Linked DNA regions of Coturnix japonica. The protein of the gene in region 1 interacts with the protein of each later gene in a biochemical or structural test. Links are inferred from orthologs where the notes say so. Each region holds a gene or a part of one and is shown on either strand. Other genes may lie near its edges.

What was found.
Region 2: the proteins of KLHL20 (region 1) and CUL3 form a complex in vitro, tested with the Homo sapiens proteins (2 studies listed by BioGRID and IntAct). The link is inferred for Coturnix japonica from reciprocal best matches to the Homo sapiens genes KLHL20 and CUL3.
Region 3: the proteins of KLHL20 (region 1) and DAPK1 are reported together in a solved structure, tested with the Homo sapiens proteins (2 studies listed by BioGRID and IntAct, with this or other methods). The link is inferred for Coturnix japonica from reciprocal best matches to the Homo sapiens genes KLHL20 and DAPK1.

Annotation. Positions count from the first base shown.
Region 1 is NC_029523.1:6,135,349-6,139,711, reverse strand, and holds the start of KLHL20 (kelch-like protein 20), read left to right. Parts: upstream 1-1,556; 5' UTR 1,557-1,571; coding exon 1,572-1,645; intron 1,646-2,588; coding exon 2,589-3,162; intron 3,163-4,363. UniProt on the Homo sapiens protein: Substrate-specific adapter of a BCR (BTB-CUL3-RBX1) E3 ubiquitin-protein ligase complex involved in interferon response and anterograde Golgi to endosome transport.
Region 2 is NC_029524.1:6,977,983-6,981,632, reverse strand, and holds part of CUL3 (cullin-3), read left to right. Parts: intron 1-472; coding exon 473-633; intron 634-1,772; coding exon 1,773-1,887; intron 1,888-2,490; coding exon 2,491-2,719; intron 2,720-3,650. UniProt on the Homo sapiens protein: Core component of multiple cullin-RING-based BCR (BTB-CUL3-RBX1) E3 ubiquitin-protein ligase complexes which mediate the ubiquitination and subsequent proteasomal degradation of target proteins.
Region 3 is NC_029547.1:37,546,006-37,549,655, reverse strand, and holds part of DAPK1 (death-associated protein kinase 1), read right to left. Parts: intron 3,127-3,650; coding exon 2,929-3,126; intron 481-2,928; coding exon 382-480; intron 1-381. UniProt on the Homo sapiens protein: Calcium/calmodulin-dependent serine/threonine kinase involved in multiple cellular signaling pathways that trigger cell survival, apoptosis, and autophagy.

The sequences.
Region 1 (4,363 bases):
CTGCTGGTTTGATTCATCATCCCCATTTGCTACTCAAATCCTTTGCTCCTGAAATCCATTAAAGCAACGGGTGACTTTAGCTGATGCTTTCAGCCCGTTTTGTGTTCTGTTCTGTGGGCCGTAGGTCCCGTCAGTTATTTTCTTCTGCATTACATCAAGGCTTTCTGAAACCAAAAAACACAGGCCACCCTGACCTTAAAGTTAAGCAGCTCAGTGATGTTATCTGGAAGCATTTTTGTTAGATATCTATTCTTGGGTGTATAAATGGAGGTAGCGCTGCCTGTTTATTTCGCTGACCTAGTGTGGCAGACTGCCTGTGTTTCCATTTGTACTCCTCAGCAGTGTGCTAAGGAAGCCCATCTTTTGTCAGCCCTTTCTTAATCGCATTGTGTTTGCTGCTTTCCTCGGCCCTGCGTTTTAATGGAGGCTAATCCCAGCATATCTGCGTAGCTGAGCACCCGGCTTTTATCCTTCCAGCACACATTTCCTCCTCAATCCTCACCTCTTCTTAATCACCCTGTGTATGTGGGAGCAGCTCTGAGCTGTGGATGTGCTGGGAGATGGCAGCTAGCCTAGCATGTGAGAATCAAATGCTGCTTTCTGTCTTTTGCACCTCTAAGCTACTGAGTCATCGTTTCATTCTCTATGCATATATATGCATAATGCACACATAATGCAGTGAAGTTATTATCCTTGTGGAGACACAGGCTGGCGGTGTCCTTTTAATTCACACTTCTGTGCCTGTGTGCAGCAGCAGCCCACGGTGCTTAACGTCAAGCACCTGTCTTGATCCAGTATGGAAATTCCCAAACCCATCCATCACTTGCTTCTGCATTACCTAGAGGTAAGTTAGGGATGAATCAGGAATGGTAATTTGCTTATTATTCTTTTTTTTTCTCCAGCCATTCAGTTCTCTTTAATCATTAACCAGCCCCTTTTTCTTTTTCTTGGAGAAAGGAGGCTGGATACAATAGGCACGCTCAGATAAATAGGGATGGGAACAGTGCAGGAACGCCTGAGGTTCTTAATAACCAGCTTCCTTTGCAGCTAAAGATCTGTTCAGCAGTCAGATTTGGGGAGAAAAGCCTATTTTGGCCTGGCAAGGAATGGGGAACTACTGCCCAAATCTGGCCTTAGCACAATGAAATCCATGTGGTGTGCTTAGTGTGAGCTGGCCTGTATACTGGGGGGCTCTGTCGCTGCCTTCCTCCATCCCTAGATAGAGGGGTTAAGTTACTTACTGTCTGCTCTTAGCTGCTGGGGACTACCAGAGAAAGCCAATTAGGTCAATTAATCTTTAGCTAAGGTTTCTTGAGGTTTTTGTGAGGGTACCATTGAACTCATTGATGCTGCGAGGAGTGTTTGCCTGCATTTTATTGGGAGGAACTTTGCAGAGCTTTGGAATGCTGCAAAGTGAATTTGGATTGTGAGGGATATGAGTGGGTGGAGGGGAGCGGGAGGCAGTGTAACAGCAGAAGGGTTTGTCAGAGGTGTCAGGAAAGGAGAACAGCAATGGATGTATTATATATATTGTATATATATGTAACAAGTAAACAAGCAAGGCATTTCAAATGCAGAGGCTGAACTTGGATAAAGCACAGAGGGAGGCCCAGCTGGATCTGTGCAACAAAGATAGGAGGGAGAGGTAATGGTCTGAAGCAGCTGAATGCCATGATCAAGGAGAAAGCGTGGGGGGGAATGGGAAAACAGTCTGGGATGCCGGTAATTGGAACTGCTGCTGAGAGGCTGGTTTGCTTGTTGTTCGAAAGTGCACTTGACATAATAATGAGAGGAATGGATGCATGCTGCAAAACGCACTGAGCAATAGCAAAGCTGTCTCTTCTTTCACTCTTAGTATGAGCAAAGTGAGGTGGTGATAACTCCCAAATGCCAATGTACCAGAGGAGCTGGAAATGGATGTGTTGGCTCTCCCAGGCTCCCTCCAACAGCCAGCGGTGCTCACTGATTATTCACAGCTGTCAGCGCTCTGATTCTTCACTTGGTGTGTTGGTGGTTGTGAATATTTTGTTTTGACTTCCTTTCTGATTGGTCTCTTAATCCTGCTTGCCTGCTAGCTTGCAGGCCATCTAAAGCTACTGAAGTCCTCAGGATAGCTGTGTGTGTTCAGGTGTCAGTGCTGGACACCCCTATTCAATATGTAGGCAAAAGAATGGAGAAGTTTGGCTACATTGTATGAGTGCAATTATTTGCAGCAGAAAACTGACCAAACTCAAGTGGCAGTGGACAAATGGGATAACTTTCTTCGCTTTGAGCCTGTGAAATGAGGATAATATTTCTCTACCGTGCCAGGCAGTCATGAGGTTCAGTTAATAAATATGTACATGTGGTTGGACGTCGCTGTGGCATGTCATAAAAAGCATATAAAAATAGGTATAAGCCTGTTTCAAGCTGGCGTTTGTTTATTTCTGAGCAGACTTTGGTTTGAGACTGGTTCTTTTCACACTCTCATCTGGAGCTCTGGGCAGCATTGGTTTTGCCTGTGTGATTGGTGTGAAGTGTTGAGCATTGCTGACAGCTAGTGATGGATGAGTTGATGCCGATCTTCTTTTTGGCTTCTCCTGCTGCAGGTGTACCAGTACTCGACCAGGGGAGACCGGAATGGATGTGACCAGCCGATGCACACTGGGAGATCCTAACAAGCTGCCGGAAGGGGTGCCGCAGCCTGCTCGTATGCCTTACATCTCCGACAAGCACCCTCGACAGACTCTGGAAGTCATCAATCTTCTTCGGAAGCACCGGGAGTTGTGTGATGTGGTGCTGGTGGTAGGTGCGAAGAAGATCTACGCCCACAGGGTGATCCTGTCCGCCTGCAGCCCGTACTTCCGAGCCATGTTCACTGGGGAGCTGGCAGAGAGTCGACAGACAGAAGTGGTGATCAGAGATATCGATGAAAGGGCCATGGAGCTGCTCATTGACTTTGCCTACACCTCTCAGATCACTGTGGAAGAGGGAAATGTCCAGACCTTGTTGCCAGCTGCTTGCCTTCTCCAGCTGGCTGAGATACAGGAGGCCTGCTGTGAGTTCCTTAAGAGACAGTTGGACCCTTCCAATTGCTTGGGCATCCGAGCTTTTGCTGACACTCACTCGTGCCGTGAACTGCTGAGGATTGCTGACAAGTTCACCCAGCATAACTTCCAGGAGGTAAGAGGCCCCTCTGCTGAGGAGTTTAGAGAGCCGTGGTCTACTCCTACTTCGTGATTCTTTCCAAACCCTGCCCTCAGTTCTGCTGATAGAAAAGGACATCGGCCTCAGCTGGGGGAAGAGCGCCCTTACACGGCTGTGTTCTTCACTGTTGTTCTGTATATCATAAATACAGTCTGTAGCATTTCTTCTCTTGGAGTTCTGTGTTGAATACTGCATGGAAGGCAGGGCCACAGACACTGCTACTGATGCAGCTGCACTGTGGTGTACTGCAATATAGTGTTTGGGATTTACATGATTGGAGGGAGAAGAGAGTCTTAAAGTGAGGGTAATATATGAGAAATAAAAATGTGCTGAGTGTAGGGATTGGGAGCATGAGGGAACTGGGAAAGCATATGGCTGTATCAAGTGAAGTCTTCAATTCTCTTGCTATACAGCAGCACGAGGGTTTTGCATTTATTATTCAGCAGAAGCTGGACAGCTCGATGTGAAAGGAATTCACGTGGTATTTTGTGGCTGACCTTCATAAACTCAAGTCTCTTTTTGCTTTTCAAAGTCTCCATAGGAAAATGTTTTGGGGTGCCAGCTACCAGTTCAGGGAAGGATCAGCATAATAAAGGATTACCTAAGCAATACCCAGAGAAGAGTGAGTCTTTACTTCATTCTTACACCCAGATGCAGAAGAGAGCCTGACATTTTTAAGTGGTATCTTTCCTGAGCCCTAGTTGGAAGGGTAAGAATTCACATGTGTTGGAAGCAGTTGCTCTCTAGGGGTGCTCTCAGCATGAAGGTGTGTTCCCCTAGCAGGGGGATTTCTCTTGCCCTTTCCAGAAGCTGCTCTTCTATCCACTGGGACAGGCAGCTTGGTGCAGAGAGACCCTTTCTTCCCACCTGTGAAGTCCTTTCCGAAGGCAGTGGTGACTCCAGGATGGAGTACTGATGCTAATTCAGTTCCCCCAGAGAAGTGGTGGTGTGTGATTGATTGCAGCTTGCACACACTTGTTTTCCCTGCAGGAAGCAGATTGGGATTGTATTAATTTCAGTCAGGTAGTACTTGAGAAAATTATGAGGAGAAGCAAACACAATTGAACATGACTGTTGGACACCTTGAAGACAATACTTGATATCTGATTGTAGACACATAACACCAGCTTACTCTAGAAGTTGAAATTAAATATGACTTCCCTGGCCATGAAGGCAG
Region 2 (3,650 bases), on another chromosome or scaffold:
GCTAATGATACTATTTCAAGAAGCCTCATTAAATAATGAGGATGAACTGTGAAATCGAGCGATGGAATTATGAGTGGCAGATAGAGAAAAAATAACTTTACAGAAGATAAAGGATGTGGATGGAAGGGAATTAAGTAGATACATAAAAAGCTTTCAGATTATTCTATGATTTTTCTGAATGTTTGGGGGCTCCCCTACTCTCCAACTGAAAAAGTGTCAGGGGTTGTGAATTTGTTCTTGCTTGGCTTAGTTATAAATGCTGTGCTTACGGTCTTAAGCAATATAGGCTCCCTATTAAATAAAGTTTTGGTAAATTGGTCTGATCCTGAGGTTGCTTCCTTTTAATAATGAGAAGAAAGGGGATTCACTTGATTATATGTGTACAGCACCAGTGTGACTGGTCTCTTCCATTTCTGAATAACCTGGGCATGATGAATTCAAAGTGTCTTTGCTTTGTGTGCCTTCATTGTAGGACCGTGTCTACGTACAACAAAATAACGTGGAGAACGTCTACAACTTGGGTTTGATTATTTTTCGAGATCAAGTTGTACGTTATGGCTGTATTAGAGATCACTTACGGCAAACTCTGCTGGATATGATTGCAAGAGAAAGGAAAGGAGAGGTTGTAGACAGGTAAGATGTTTGTAAGTGACTGTCTGCTGTTGCAAATGACACTTAGCAATCCTTGAGTGAATCACAAATGTGCACAGCTAAATCATTACTTAAGCGAAAGTTTCTTCATAACATGGAAAAAACCCCACATTTTTACTTTTTAGCAAACTTAAAATAATGGTAAATGGATACACTCATTAATACATTTCTAATGCTAATCTTGAGATGTTTATTGAAGTTTTTGTTAAGTCTCTCCGTTACCACCTTCTGTCATAGCATTCTATTATAAAGCAGAGGTTTGACAGTTCTCTGCCCCTTGTTGTCGTCCTGCTTGTCCTCTGTACTGAGAGGCTGCTTAACTTTCCTCTACCTGCTTTATTTGATTTTTGAAGTTATCTTTTAGTCTTCCATTTCCATTCCTAATGTTTTAACCCAGTTCAGTTATCTCTCGGCTTTAAAATCTGTTCTTCATGTTCTCTTGCCATATTTGTGGAAGTGGTTTGACAGCATGAGCTTCAGATGCTGCATGTGAAGTAACTCGAAGTTTGCAAGTTTTTTTGCGTTTCTCCAGTTTCAGAACAGCTGTTGGGTGTGGAGATATGTAAACTTCATGCTACTTTGGCTGCAGTTCTGTAATTGGGATTGCCCAACATACAGTTTATGAAGAGAAAAATACATGTTGGCAACAGCTGTATATTGTCCCCTGCTGCCAGAAATGAAATTTTTTCATAGATACAGTTCTTTTGTTTTTGAATGTTATCAGCATGTTTATGCCTAAACAGATGCTTAAATTGCAGGTGTGTTTTCATACTCTGCATGGCACCATCCATCTGTGCAACTGTCTTGTTTACTACTAACCTACACATGCAGTTTTCAGTGTTCCTTGTTTATTTTCCGGTGTGGAGAAATATATTCCTGTTAATAGTTTTCAGAATTGGTAGAACTTGAGATCTGCTTTCCTATTTAAAATATTATGTGTTGTCAGCTCCTTAGTTTTAAACAGTGATAGTCTTACTGCCATCTGGAAAACCTCTGGTGCAACAAACAGATGTAGGACAGACTTTTTATTAGTACATTTTAAGTTAAAAATTGTTATTTTGCTATACGTACTCCCTGTGTTATGTTGATTTCTGAAGTTGTTAACAACTTACTTTTGGCAGAGGCGCAATAAGAAATGCTTGCCAGATGTTAATGATTCTAGGTCTTGAAGGAAGGTCAGTCTATGAAGAAGACTTTGAGGCTCCATTTTTGGAGATGTCTGCAGAATTTTTTCAGGTACAGCAGTCTTGTAATTACCCTATTTGGAATTCTCTTGTAATTGCATGGAATCATAAGAGTTAGTGGTACCTTAAGTAACTACTGTTTATTCGACGAGTAATGTCAATCTTTGTTAAATGAAATAAGAAGTGTGACTAACTTTGAGGAAAAAGAAACACTTATTTCACATAATTAACATAATTTAACTGTGAGCATTGTCATTCTTAAGAATAATGAGAAAACCATTGATGCATATAATTCGTAAATATGACATAGACTGGTATTTGAAAAGAGATTTTACTTTTTGCTTCTCCCGTCTTTATTTTCGTTGGACCTGTAGCTCTAACTCCTGTTGGTCACTGGATATTAGGCTGATTGTGCTCACTTTAGCATGGAGAATACCACACTTATATTCATGTACCCTCAAACCTACATAGCACAATGAGTGTAGTAGAACTTTTATTGTGTTAAGCATATATGTAACTCTTGGAGGTCTTGCTTGTTGGATGTGCCGGAGTGATTTAACTTGTTAATGAATGCTGATCTGAAATAACCAGTATATTTCATTTTTTCCTCCTTAAAATACAAGAAGTCTAAAGTATTAATTTGTGTTAATCACAGATGGAAAGTCAGAAATTTTTAGCTGAAAACAGTGCTTCTGTATATATAAAGAAAGTAGAAGCTAGAATTAATGAAGAAATAGAACGGGTGATGCACTGTCTGGATAAATCAACAGAAGAGCCAATTGTGAAAGTTGTTGAGAGGGAGCTTATTTCCAAGCATATGAAAACTATAGTGGAAATGGAGAACTCTGGGCTAGTTCATATGCTGAAAAATGGGAAGACAGAAGGTAAGACTATATCATATGGGAGACAGAAATGCTTACCATACTGCTTGTTGTTTTTAAACATAGGATAAACTGAGCTTAACTTTTGTGTTCCTGTTTGGCTTTCTTTTGCACACCTCTGCAAATGGTACTTCAGAGGATTTAGAGAGCTTTTAGGACACTGATTGTATATAGAACTTGTTTCTGTTTAGTGCCAAATAATGACTTGGTTTTTTGTAAGCTAAGCATTTCTTAAGAATAAATATTCACCTTTTGTGCTGTGCTTGATTACCTGCTCTCTGTGAGCCATTTTATTGCTTTTGTGCCTACAGTGTATAGCTTTTAAAATGCATCACTGTTTTGTGGGGTTTTTCTCAGGGGGTGGTGCAGTATAAAAGTGATAGAGTAAATGACATGGAATTGCATGATTGATTTTTTTGGGGAAAAAGGATTTACTGCAGGAAAAAAGTGTTAATTTTAAAGGATGAAAAATATTTTCTAAGTGACTGAAAAAGAAGGATTTGGTTTGGTAAGGTTTTCTATAGTGTAGGTTACTGTGAGACAGCAACTGAATGCACATTTTTATAGAAGGAGAACCTACACTTCTGAAACAGTGTAATGAAGAGTGATTGTAGTACCTATTTTTAGAAATCAGGCTTCATACTAAAACATCGAGAATGGGAACAGACTTACTGTTTGGATAAATGGCTTTTGTTCCTTGAAGTAGCTTCATAATTAGGTGGTAGTCAGAGTGATAAAGTGAGCAAATTTCTTAGCTGTAAGAAAAGAGCATTTCTGTATGGAAAGATGATACTATACTTAACCTTTTTTCATTAATATCCAATTAAGATAGGCTTCAGGGTGAGAGGACAAGGATATTGAAGGGCATTTACAACATACAAGAATTAATATAACATTTATAGGCATTGGTTTAATATAGCTGTGAAGTTTTTTA
Region 3 (3,650 bases), on another chromosome or scaffold:
AACAGAGCTTTTAAACTTCTCCAAAAAAACAAAAAACTGAACAGGATACACATTAAGCATCCGTACAGCAACTGTACAAGGTATGAGATTACCTATCTTAACAACAGTGGCCTATTATAACATTATGTTATCTGTATTTCTAACTAATTTTAAGTCAATAAACTCCACAGATGAAGTGGTAGCTTCACTGTACCTAGTTTCAAATTCAGCTGTAAGAAGGGCACAAGTTGACAACAATTATTTTCAAGTTGTAGATGTTCTACTCCCTACTACTTTTTCATTTCAAAATGTAATTGTATTTAACCACTTCTCTCCCTTGAGATTAACTTATTTTCTACTATTGTATATAAAACATGCATGAAGCATCGTCTTAATACTTACTGAGGTTAAAGCTTCCACATTGGCACCAGTAAGACAAAGGAACCTGACAACTTCAAGAATGCCATTGTTTGCAGCAAGATGCAAAGGTGTTCTTCCATACTATCATGGAGAAAATAAAGGATCATATTAGACAAACAATATCATTCCAATGTTTATGATTAACAATCATATTATATGTTTTATTATTAAGTACTGATACACCGCAAAGGTAGTATGAAAATTTTAAGAAAAAGTCCCTAGTCTTTAAAGCTGTAGATTCAATTTATTTCAAACCAAGCATTACTGAAGATAACGTTTCTGTAGTGTTCTCCTAGCAAGGAATAATAGATGAACATAAGGAGTGTGCATGAAGGGATCTATGATTGTAGTGACAAAAGGAAAGTGATGAAAGTATTTGGAGAAAAGAGCAAAAAAAAAGGTTAGGAATATTTCTTCTGATGACAGATATGAAAATATCAATCATTTCTGGTTTTTTACGTTCATAGCTAAAAACATAAATAACTCTACTGTATACTGCAAATCCTTGCATTACTTGTAAATCCTCTCATCATCTCCTCTTGTTACTTCATATTCTCAATACTGTTCTCCCTGTTTTAACCCTACATTCCAAACCAAATTCATTTGCTTACTTCAAAAAGAGTACCTGAAAGCAAAGCTAAGTTTACGCACCTATAAACTGAAAAGCTGCTTACTCCTCGAACTCAAATAAATGTTTATGATGTTCTGCTGCGCATGGACTTTGAAAGAAACTAGCAGCGCCCTCAACTGGTACTGGATATGCACAGGACAATGCCAGATTTGAGGACCAAGGACAGATGGTCCTTAGTTTATTTACTCATATCATGGGTCTCACTGCTGAAAAGCACAAGTAGAAATAAATGTCTTTATTTCATAAGATTTTTACTCAATCTTTCAGATAAAGTGTGTTCTTAAAAACCACTCCAGTATACTTGACTCCTAAAAGACTAGCAGGACATAAACTTTAACTGCAGCTCCTGCGCTATGATCCCACATCTACTGACCACTTGAAGGCTGTTTATTTCCCTATGGTATGCTTGGGGCCAGGCTACTGAAACCAACTGAGCATTCTCAGTTACGAAAAGAGGTACTAATCCAGCCTTTTGCTGAATTATCTCACTTTCCCAAAATGTGTTCTCGGCAATTAAATTTAGATTCTCTGCTTAGTCATCATATTTAAGCTCAGAGGCAAGATCAGAGAGCTCATTACTGTAAGATTCTTGACTTTGCAGCTGATTATTTTAATTATTAAAGCCAAGAGATTTCACTGGACAACCTTCAAGCAAGAAGACCTACAACTTTAATTTGCTGGCTTACTTAGAGAATGTCAGTTTTCATACTAAGTGGAAATATTAGTATAATATTCTGTTGGAATATGCATATTTTCAGAAAAACTGAATTACAATATCTGAATCATATATAAATTAACAATATAAATTAACAATTAATGACATAAAGATGTCTCAAAAAAAAAAAAAGACTTTTAAATTCACACACAAAAAAAGCACAAAAATTCAACAGAGTAGAGAAGACTTCAAAACTAAATACAGCATGTCAGCAGTCTATTAGCAGACTTTAAACTTATTCAAATCCAGTTTAGGAAAATTTTCTCAAACAGCTTACTTATTTTTCACCTAAAGATACATCGGAGGAAAGCAAGAATGTTAAACCTGGATAGCACCTCATTTAGTTATCCCATACCCTGCAGCAATAGCACAAGAAAAGAAGCCAAGAAAGCACTAGCACTATCTCCAAATTCAGAGATAGGCAATGAAACTTTCTCTTTGCAAAGTGCCCATTACTACAATCAGTTGGCATTTCACATATTTACCTGGTAGTAATCCATGAAGAGGTATCACATTCAACATCTTTTAACGTTTATTACTTCCATAATTGTCACTTGTAAGTGAAAGAATCACCAATAGGACAATTTCCCCAAAGCTCCTCCCTCAGTCATCTAACTACAATTTTTGAAAATAGTTTTACTTTTAACATTTTAATTCTGAGAATTCATGTACAATTGTTTTGTCATTATTTATTTTAATATTTTAATAAATGAACTCAAGAAAAACATAAACCAGCTAATATAACATTTTTATAACCAGCAGCAGAATCCACACTTGTTTTCTATCACTTGTTCAGATGACAGTGCAGACCTGTACTGAATTTAAAGATTTTTAATAAAAATGTATCAGTCTTTAATTTTGAAGCAATTTAGTATTATTAAAGTACATCAAACAAATGTCTATTCAGGCTAGGGAAGATGGCTGGCACAGATTTCAACACTAGAGCTGAGTAGCAGAGTACACTGTGGTAATTAATTCACTTCGGCTCCTACTTCATGGATTTTTAATCTGTGAACTAAACTGAAAAAGGTAAGTTTGCAGCATGAGTCATCAAATGCTTTACATCTGACCACTTTAAAATATAAAAATGAGGGAAAAATAATTTTCTGACTAGCAAAGTAGAGAAGATCATCTAATGCAATAGGTGACCTCTTAAAGCAGTTCAGTGCCATATGCCATTTACCTTATTAGCAACATCCAAGTTACAACCTGCTTCACAAAGTGCCATTACAATAGGGACATTTCCATCTTTGCAGGCCACGTGCAGGGGAGTGTTGCCATGTCTGTCTTGGAAATCAACAAAACATCCTTGATTGATGAGGGTTTTAACTACTTCCATCTGACATCTTCTTACAGCAAGGTGCAGGGCTATATGACCATCCTGAAAACACAACAGAGCCAAGATGTGAGGGAAAAATAAAAGTCCAAGTATTTTTTGAAGTCACAATCATTTTCCAGTAATTTTATGTATTTCCTTGCCTCCAGAATTAAATATATATATATATATTTTGGGGGAGGCAAAAGGGAAGGGCTGAGCTGGAAGCAGGGTGATGCACAATATCTGTCAGAACAGATCAACAAGTAGAAAGCAAATTTTTATTAAGCCAGCAGGCTTTGCATTGGAATGAATGAAATGTAAACACACATTCTCTAGTGAAGACTTCCCCGGGAAGTGGGAGCGTGACTAACTGAAAAAACAAGCCCAGCACTGTAAATCACACTAGTATTTACTAACAGAGGTTAGGGATGAAAAAGTCAAGCAATCTGTTCAGTGATCTGCAACTTCAGAGACAGAGCTTTCTTGCTCAGAGAAATAACTTACAGGCAACTTCGCTGAAAAAAAATAAAGAAAGGAAGAAAAAAATAAATCAGTTTACTGCTTTTTGGGGAAAAAACAAAAATATT